Linked DNA regions of Sus scrofa. The protein of the gene in region 2 purifies or fractionates together with the protein of the main gene of each other region. This does not show direct contact. Links are inferred from orthologs where the notes say so. Each region holds a gene or a part of one and is shown on either strand. Other genes may lie near its edges.

What was found. Proteins that work in one complex are often made in the same cells at the same time.
Region 1: the proteins of CPSF3 (region 2) and CSTF2 purify together in Homo sapiens (affinity purification with mass spectrometry; 3 studies listed by BioGRID and IntAct, with this or other methods). This does not show direct contact. The link is inferred for Sus scrofa from reciprocal best matches to the Homo sapiens genes CPSF3 and CSTF2.

The regions. Positions count from the first base shown.
Region 1 is NC_010461.5:82,507,497-82,512,146, reverse strand, and holds the start of CSTF2 (cleavage stimulation factor subunit 2), read right to left. Parts: upstream 3,409-4,650; 5' UTR 3,309-3,408; coding exon 3,251-3,308; intron 2,171-3,250; coding exon 2,092-2,170; intron 1,609-2,091; coding exon 1,439-1,608; intron 658-1,438; coding exon 521-657; intron 60-520; coding exon 1-59. UniProt on the Homo sapiens protein: One of the multiple factors required for polyadenylation and 3'-end cleavage of mammalian pre-mRNAs. This subunit is directly involved in the binding to pre-mRNAs.
Region 2 is NC_010445.4:126,867,365-126,872,866, reverse strand, and holds the end of CPSF3 (cleavage and polyadenylation specificity factor subunit 3), read left to right. Parts: intron 1-877; coding exon 878-974; intron 975-3,719; coding exon 3,720-3,821; 3' UTR 3,822-4,348; downstream 4,349-5,502. UniProt on the Homo sapiens protein: Component of the cleavage and polyadenylation specificity factor (CPSF) complex that plays a key role in pre-mRNA 3'-end formation, recognizing the AAUAAA signal sequence and interacting with poly(A) polymerase and other factors to bring about cleavage and poly(A) addition.

The DNA.
Region 1 (4,650 bases), on a different chromosome or scaffold from region 2:
AGTTGAGGGTTCTGAAGCAACATGTTCCGTGCTTCCTGGGGACTATTCTGGACACAGAGCTGAGAAGATAAAGAGATCAGTCATCCGGTTCAATTCATCAATCAGGTTATTACTTAGAAACTGATCATGATTTAGAGCTATTCGCATCTGAGAAATGTAACATTCAAGAGGCTTTTTAAGGTATTAATTTTTACATAGCACACAAAATCTTGGTCATGGCAGGCAATAGAAGGAAGAAGGCACTTCAAATATCATGATACCATCATTTAGGAAAAAAGTCGTATTTTAAAATCTAGATTTGATATCTATGGGCCACAAAATCCCAGCCAGATTGTGTAGGTGTGTTTGTGGACAAAAAATGGAAAGTACTCTTCATGAAATGTACACTATACACCGAAGGTGTAAGAAATGTTGGTCAACAGGCACACTTTCTGTTTCTACCAGGGAATCATTCATATCAATGAAATCCTTGAAAATTTGATGTGATTTGATTTATCCATAAGCTAGTGCCTCCTCCTACCTTCATTTGTTTCATCAGTTCAAACATCTGCTCTGGTGGAAGACTGGCAACTGCTTTGCTAATGGATTCAGGGGCATCCTCGGGACTGATGGTCTCTCCATAAGGTGACTCAATGACAGGGGCACCAGTGCCAAGACCTGATTGGGAAGAAAGTACAAGAAAGTTAAGGAGGCAGTATAAAGAGCTAAACGATTTCAAGTATCTACTCTTTACAGAGTTGCTGTAAGACCCTGTTGATAACTTTAAATTTTCTGGAGCTGAGAAATAAGTGATTTTCAAGTCTCATATTTCTGTGGAGGAAAGTGACAGAGTGTATCTTCTGCTCTCAGAGGAAAGCTGGCACCAGGGTCACAGAAGTGAACAATATTAACTTAAATTAGGGGCTAGGCATATCCATTTCCTTTTACAAATCATTTCATAAGCAAAATGTTTCTTTTTTTTTTTTTTACAATTTTTTTTAATTGTTATTTCCCCAATACAATTTTTTTTTTCTACTGTGACCCAGTTAAAAGGGTTTAATTCTAATTTCAAAATGGAATTTCTGGATTCTGTTACTTCATGAAAAAAAAAGCCACGAGAATGCCTTGGTATCCTTACCAGTTATAGATCTGGTAACATAATTATAGGAGTGGCGGACACTAATGACAGACATAGTTAGCACTACTAACGGCTTCCTGAGCCTGTAATTCATCTTCAGCTGGAAATCAATTCCTTGGTAACGGAAGGTCTTAAGTCAACTTTACTTATTTCTCAAAGGTGTACACTGCCCTAATGCAGGCAGCTCTCAGATGGCTCAAATAAAGATGTTGTGTAGCTGAAAACCATTTCAGCAGATGCTAAAACATATGATTATGTGGCAAATCTCCATTGTTACATCTTTACTAACTCATGTTGCATACAGCTTGGGTTTTTACTCACTCTTCAGCTCCTCTTTGTTCTTTTCGCTGGCAGCATTGTCCACTCGAAGTGCTCTCCCACTGAATTCACGCCCATTTAGGTTTCGCATGGCACTAAGTGCTGTCTCCTGGTCTTGGTATTCACAGAAGCCATAACCCTTTGGTTTTCCTGTCTCCCTATCATATACCAACCTGGAGAGCAGAACCAAGTATCAGGCATGAATGTTATATACATGCAGGTTTTCCACTAACATTGCTGTGTTCTAATGTGGTTTACTTTAAGACAACCTTACTGCTCCGTGTCACTGAAATATTTTTTACACATCTTTCTAAATGGGAAAAAAAGGTAACTTTTAGGAGTTATCTTGTGGCACAGTGGGTTAAGGATCCAATGTTGTCACTGCAGCAGTTTGGCTCACTGCTGTGGTGCAGATTGGATCCCTGGCCTGGGAACTTCCATATGCCAGGGGTGGGCCAAAAAAAAATGTATCTTTTAGCAAAAATGAATGTGAATTATATGGTGTGTGAATTACATCTCAATAAAGCTGTTACAAACAAAAAAGAATTTTTTTGTGCATGTGAAAAGTCACCAATAAAAACTTTGCCATTATTACTAGGGGCCAATTTGTGGTGATTTTTAAGAAATTTCCACCAAGGAGTAAAAGGGGATCTCACCTGAAACTAACAACAGGTCCAACCTCAGAAAAGATGTCCTTTAATTGCTCTTCAGTAGCCTCATAAGGAATGTTCCCCACTAAGGAAGGAAATAGATAATATATTAAAATTCTGAGTTTGTAATCTAGGTCTTTAGTAAGAAAACATTTACATATATCACTGAAAATGTAACAACTGGTTCAAACACAACGTTCCTCCAATCCCGATTCCATTGTACTCTCTTAGACAAGAATTCAATGGTGTCTACTGACTTTAATTACAAGAGGAATAAACCATTGAGACGAAACACAAAAGGTGTATGCCCTAAGTATTAGTTCTTAGACTGAACTGACAGGTGTTACATTTTTCTTAAGTATGGTGAAAATAAATATTTAGGCATTGGTATTTACCTGAAAGTCTGCAAGTCATAAATAACTGCTAAAAATGTCAATATTATAATATATGAAGCCGGCTCCTATGCCAGTATTTCCACATATACACACACTCAAAGGAGAATGACCACGAATGTCGTAGAGGATGTTTAAAAGTTATTCTGAACTATTTTGTCATGTCCCTCCCAAAAGGTGCTTTAAAATCGCCAGATACTTTTAAAAATCAACTTATTTCGGCCTGAAAGATTGCTCAGAATAGACTCGACCCTCTTTAAAATTTCTCTGAATAGGTCTTAATCATTCATTCATTCATTTATTTACAGTTCACCTTAAGACGCCGGGTGGCCACTACCACTAACGACGAACTAAAATGTGAAAAGCAGAGGATGAAAGCCCTTATGAGAGGGCGGGAAGTGGACAGAAAGATCTATATCCTCAGCATATAAACTGTATTCTGGGATAGGGGGTGAGTAGTACGGGGCAGTTGCCATGAGCCCTCGCTTCTATATAATAATTGAGGCTCACGAAAGGAAAACGCATAGAAGCTGAACGCTAGTTTAACTTCCTCGGCCACATCTTGCAAAGGCTTTGAGGCCTCGGGGGAAGGGGAGCATCACTTTGCCCACGAGCCCACCAAGCTGGCCGCCCGACAGGACAGGCAGGTCGAGCGCAAGCCCGACCCATCACCGGCTCCTGCAGCGATTCATGAGATGCAGGACGGCATTCCTCGGCGTTCCCTGTCTTTTTCTCTCCCTCCCGGACGCTTGGATCCACCGAATTCCTCTCACCGAACACCGAACGTAGCGAACGGTCCACCGCAGGGTCTCTCACAGTCAAACCCGCCATCGCTCTCTTCCGGGGGCTTCCGGTGCGCCAGAGCACACTTCCGTACGGCGCATGAGCCCAGCGCCGAACACGCTTCTGTACGGCGCGTGAGCCGGACGCTTCTGAGCCGGCCGGACGCAGGGCCCCTCCCCTGGCGTCATTTCGTCATAGCAGGCGCGCGTCACGTCCAGGAGAGCGCTAACTCCCTCCCGGCTGGGCTCCAGCCTGAGAAAAACTACGTTCCGTGTTGGAGCTCGGCTAATTTGAAGGCTTTTAGTCTGCATAATTCTTTATTGTTCATTATTTTCTTAAGCTAACGCAAGTAATTGTCGACCACAATAACGATGGCGGCGGCGGCGGCTTTACCATGGTAACCGGAAAGTCGATAAACGCTGCGTCCCTTTCCTTTTAGTTCCGCCCTGTTAGGGGAGGGGAAATGCTTGGCCCCGCCCCAGCGGGGTGCATTTTTATCCTTTCTCAAAAGCTCTGTACCCACTGAGGGAGATGAGGAAACAGAGTTACGGCACCCTAGAGAATGAGGGGCACCCAATGCCAAAGCGCCAACATACTGAGAAGATGGGGAGGTAAACACAGAACAGACCCCGTCTGCTCTCTTAGCCTGTGGACTTCACGTGCTTGATGGTGAGGGGGCGAGGCCGTGGAGGATGTTGGCTGGCAGGGCATCAGAAAACATTAGAACAGGAAATGTAATTGGCTAGTAGTACGCAATTAGCAACTAAGTCATGATTTGAGCTCAGCTTGCTTTCGCTCCAGAGGCTGAATGCTTAAGTGCCCACCAGTATAACTCAGAGAATTTAACGACGTAACTCTTTTCTTTCTTTGCCATTTTTGGTTAGAGCTTAAGATTTGGTAATAGTGGATTGATGGCCCAGAATAATGAACCGCTGAAGAATAGGTTGAGGCACTTAGCCAGGGCATGTTCTGCCGTCAGCCATTTGTGGAGAATGGACTGTTGATTCTTTCACTTCATTTAACCACCCCTACTGTTTATAAAAGAAGAGGTATGTAAGGGCTATTTCCTAAGCTCGTGGTGTTTTATAATTGGGTTTCAGTTATAGGCCATGTGCTTGTGACCCCATGCCTCATTGCTATTGTCTATGAGGGTCTTCCCTTCATTGCCATACTCCCAGAGTGACACATTTCTTTTGCCTCCAAGTTGTAGCAGAATGAGGACAGGAGGTATTGACTGTTACTGTTGTAGGTATTATGACTGAACCTCAATTAGAACAATGAAGTAGGTGCTGTATGAAGAGGTAGGGGAAAAACTAGGAAAGATGCATTTCTACATAAATGGGACTATTGTTTTTTGGGGCTTTGAGTAGAAGAGAAAGAGTATGTAGTG
Region 2 (5,502 bases):
CAGCTCTTTAAATCCTTAGGATTATATGTGGATAAATTTCTTTAACAAACCGACAACTGGTTGCATAAAAATGAGGCTTGTTCTTTTGAATACATTTCTGTAGTTAAAGTATTTTCCCTTAGTACAAGGTTGCCCAGCCAGTTTATTCAAACGTATCATTCCCATGACTGCCCGGAAGAGCAGGCAGTTAATGTCCCTTCTCCCCCGACCCCTGCCCTGGAATATAGCTTTTTTCAGTGCTCGACTGTCAAGCTGACCCGTGTCTGGGGAGTTTTTCGAGTCACTGACTACCATTCCTCGCCTGCGTCCCGCCCGCTGCTTCGGCTGTGGGTTGCAGGTGTCTCTGTCATTGATGGGGACAAGTGTGGAAACGGATCGACCGACCGTCGCTCTTCGGTGACGGAGGCAGCGTCTCGGGATTTTCCACCTCCCCGGGGGCCCAGCGCACCCGGCACGGAGAAGATGCTCCGTGAGCCCAGGGTTAACCGGAAGGAGGCCTTCGGAGCGGGTTAAAGGGCTGGCGGCCCGTGGACCTAGAGGCCTGGACACGTCGCCCACACGGGTGCCCACGAGCCAGGGGCTCCAAGCAGGTGCCCTCACTGCCTCGTGCCTAAAGGACTCCCTGCCACAGTTATTATAGGTGACGAGAGCGGATATGAAGTGCCACGTGTGACGCTTGTTCTTAATAAATGATAGCTGTATGTATTTCCTGCCTTACAAAATTAATAAAATGTGCGAAAATAAGTAAGTGCATTTCAGGAGTAGATATAAGGACTCTACCTCAGAACGAGGGCCTATCGCAAATATTATTATTCCCCAAATCTTTACGTATTTATGGAACAGTTTCCACTAATGCCGCCCCTTTGCTTATCCTAAGGGACATATTTGGAGAGGACTGTGTTAGCGTAAAGGACGGATCTGTTCTTAGTGTCACTGTGGATGGAAAAACTGCCAACATAAACTTGGAGACGCGGGTATGTAGCTGTTCCTTCCTGCATTGCAAGGCACTGGGGGATAAAGTGAACGCAAAAAATAATCTGGTTTGCAGTTTACTTTTGCATTTGGGCATTTCCTAGATTTAAAGATAGACTGTGTTTCTGTCGTCAGGTTTTTTTTTTTTTTTTTTTTTTTTGTCTTTTTGTCTTTTTGCTATTTCTTTGGGCCGCTCCCGCGGCATATGGAGGTTCCCAGGCTAGGGGTCCAATCAGAGCCGTAGCCACTGGCCTACGCCAGAGCCACAGCAACGCAGGATCTGAGCGGCGTCTTCGACCTACACCACAGTTCACGGCAACAGCGGATCCTTAACCCACTGAGCAAGGCCAGGGATTGAACCCGCAACCTCATGGTTCCTAGTTGGATTCGTTAACCACTGCGCCATCACGGGAACTCCTCTGCCGTCAGGTTTTACATCCATACTTTTACTTCTCGTTCTGCCCTAAGTGGTTTTCCCTGTCGCTGCAGAGGGTTCCTTTCCCACGTCTCGCTGACTCCCCCGGGCTCCATTTCCATAGTATTCCTCAATCCGCCTCGGCTTTCTCTACTTTGGCCTCCATGCGATGCAGGTTTTCCAGAGAAGCGGCTCTCCTGCTCACAGCAAGATCCAAGTGGCTTTTGCAAACAGTGGGATTCGTGTGTGCGGGGCCTGCAGGCCTTTAGGAATTATTTCATGAGCATAAGTGAATATGTGTCTCCTCCTCGGGGTGTGGGGGGGTGGCTTTTGAAGAGTAGAACAGTTCTGCTAAACCAGTAGCACATGTTTGGGATTTTGTTCATGTATTCTTTGACCGTATAGCTGTTTTGAGCAAACACTCGGTTTATTTTACCTCAATAGAAGAATAAGCCAAGAACACTAACAAGTAATTCGCTAGAGAAGAAATACAGCCAACAAGCACATGAAACAAATGTGTCAGATCAGATCCACTGAGAGTTAAAGGAAACACAGACTGAAAGTATAAAATATCACTCTTTCTGTGTTTCTGTCGGCACCGAGTAAAAAGAGTGCCGGGACCCGCTGGTGGTGAGCGAGGAGGGACACCGCTGCCCGCGGTTCCGTCGGGCCAGGGAGGAGGTTGTAGGGCGGGCAGGGCGTTCTGGCTGCAGCGCCGTTTGCTGATTGGCGTCCAAAGCCTTCAAAGTACATACCTGTATGCACGATGCCATTTGCTGGCTTTCACCAAAGAACATGATTAGGGAAGTGAGGAGATAGATAGATCGATATTTTAGCATCGATTATAGCAAAACTCCAAGAGACCTAAATATCCAAGAGTAGGAGATGGTAACTGAGTAAACACTGGGTCTGCTGTGCCCTTCGTCACGGAATACGCTCAACACAGCTACTGAGAACGGTGATGCAGGGTTTTTTGGGGGGGTTTCTTTGTCTTTTTAGGGCCACACCTGTGGCATATGGAGGTTCCCAGCTAGGGGTCAAATTGGCACTGTAGCCGCCTACGCCAGAGCCACAGCAACTCAGGATCCAAGCCGCATCTGTGACCTACACCACAGCCTGAGGCAATGCCGGATCCTTAACCCACTGAGCAAGGCCAAGGGTCGAACCCGCGTCCTCATGGATGCCAGTCGGGTTTGTTAACTGCTGAGCCACGATGGGAACTCCAATGATGTAGATTTATTAATGTGCAGAGTTGTCCATTACATTATTGAGTGAGGAAAAAAGTTACAAGATAGCAAATACGAATTATCCCATCTTTGTTTTAAAGAAATATATATATATATAGCCAGAAATCTAGAGGTTTATGCACTGAAATGTCAACAATAGTTATCATAGAATTAAGGGTGTTAGCTTTTCTTCCCTAAATTTTTATGTGAGGAATATTTATGGTGTGATAACCTTTTTTTAAAACAAAGTTTTTGTTGAGTTGATGACCATATCCAGTTCTTGCTAAATAATTTGTGTTGCATGACTTCCCTGGAGTGTCATTTACTAGATCAAAACATGGGCTTTGAAGTAAACATATTCTTTATTCCCTTTATTCTTTTTTTTTTCCCATAATTAATCCCTGGTCTGACTCAGTGGCGTCAGGAATCTCGGCATCCGGGTGCATGCCCACAGCTGTGCGGGGCAGCAGTTCTGGCTTCTGATCATCAAGAATCCTACCCCTTCAGCAAATGATTGTTCTTTTTGGGGGCGGGGGGCCCACATCTGCGGTATATGGAAGTTCCCTGGCCAGGGTCGAATCAGAGCTATATACCCTGGCCTACGCCACAGCCATAACAACATGGGATCCAAGCCACATCGGCAACCTACATCACAGCTTCTCGGCAACAGGGATCCTTAACCCACTGAGCGAGGCCAGGGGTCAAACCCGCAACCTCATGGATACCAGTCAGGTTTGTTACCGCTGAGCCATGATGGGAACTCCGGGAAATGATTGTTCTTAAAGAGCGTTAGTTTCTCTTTAACATAGTAATTCTAGACAGGAGTTCCCATCAGGGCTCAGCAGGTTAAGAAGCTGACGTAGTCTCTGTGAGGATGCAGGTTCAATTCTTGGCCTCGTTCAGTGGGATAAGGATCCTGCATAGGTTGCAGATGTGGCTCCGATCCCGATCCAGCGTTGCTGTGGCTGTGGTGTAGGCCGGCAGCTGCACCTCTGATTCGACCCCTAGCCTGGGAACCTCCCTCTGCCACAGGTGCAGTTGTAAAAAGAAAAAAAATCCACTCCAGACACTTGGGCTGCCAGGCATGTTTGTGCTCTCACTTTCAGACCGTGGAATGTGAAGAAGGGAGTGAAGACGACGAGTCCCTCCGAGAAATGGTGGAGCTGGCTGCCCAGAGGCTGTATGAGGCCCTCACGCCAGTGCCCTGACCCCTCACGCCTCTGTAGATGTTCAAACGTCGTGTCATGCTCGGCTCTACTGTTACTTCAAATAAAAGACAGTCATTTCCCTGGGGGCCTCTTTACTCTTGACGACAAAGGGCCTTTAGTCCAACCCTTAGATACCACTACGGGACCAGCTCATTTGTCCATCATTGAGGACTGCTCCTTCAACTGCCGGCTGCCGAGTCTGCTCCAGGGACGGATGCAGGACCCATGACACCGTGAAGACCCCCCCACACTGCGGGAGCAGAAGGGCTGGTCCTCTTTAGGGAAAGGACATGCATGATGGCCGGAGCTTTCATATCCATGATCTGAATTTGGATTAATAATTAGCGCTTTTCAACGTCTTAAGCCCCTTTTCTGTTTCTTCCCTCCCGATAGTCTTTCCAAATTCCTTAGTTTATATGTTTGTAAAATTAGAATTTTCAAGATTCAATAATGTTTTCTTTATGTAAGATCCACATTCAGTTCAGATATTCAAAAGATGCTTTTTATGATTCAGGTTCAAGGATGCTCATATGTTGTTGAGTTGTCTTATGTGTGTATTAATCATCAGTCCAGTTTTCTCAAGTACGAGTAGCTCAGACTTGCAAGGGCCTGGACACGGGTGTCTGGTCTTGTGCTGAGAGACCGGATCGACTCTGCCGGGGGTGGGGGCGGGAGGGGTCTTCGGCGTCTGCTTCAGTGAAAGGCTCCACCTGCTCCCTCAGCGGGAACGGAACAAGCAGGCCCTGGGGCAGGTTCGCCTTCACAGCCTGGCTGTGAAAAGTCAAAAAAAAAAAAAAAAAGATTCCTACTTAGTGTTTGGCCTAAACCAAAAGTCTGAGGGTCACCTTCTGTAAGTGCCATTTAAGATTTTGTTATGATAGATTTGATTTTATTTATTTTTGCTTCTTAGGGCCACACCTGCGGCATATGGAAGTTCCCAGGCTAGCGGTCTAATCAGAGCTACGGCCGTCGGCCTACACCACAGCCACAGCCACACCAGATACGAGCCTCGTCTGCGACCTACACCACAGCTCAGGGCAACGCCCCATCCTTAACCTGCTGAGCGAGGTCAGGGATCGAACACGCAACCTCATGGATACGAGTTGGATTTGTTTCCGCTGAGCCACGATGGGAACTCCTGTTATGATGGATTTTAAAACTTTTTTTTTTTTTTTTTTTTTTTGTCTTTTTAGGGCCGTACCCTCGGCATATGGAGGTTCCCAGGCTAGGGGTCGAACCAGAGCTGTTGCTGCCGGCCTACACCACAGCCACAGCAACTCGGGATCCTTAACCCACTGAGCAAGGCCAGGGATCATGGTTCCTAGTTGGATTCATTGCCACTGCACCACAACGGTAACTCCTAAAACATTTTTAAGTTACAAAAAATACACACTTGTGATATCTTTACAACACAGGTTATACACAGCAGAAAGGACGAGTCCTTTCGGAGTCCCGCTCCCTGAGGCAACCAGTTTCACTTAAGGATTCTAAACTGCTGTTCAATCTGCCCATCTCACCTCCAGTGTGCCTCTGACACCAAATCATCTTGTCCCCTCTGGTTCCTGCCGCAGCCTCCCTTCTCTGCCTACATTTGATTCCTAAAGTAGCAGACCTGCCCTCAAGCCTCCCCTGCTGAAATTTCTTCAGGGCTCCTTTACCGTAATTAGGATGAAGTCCAAAC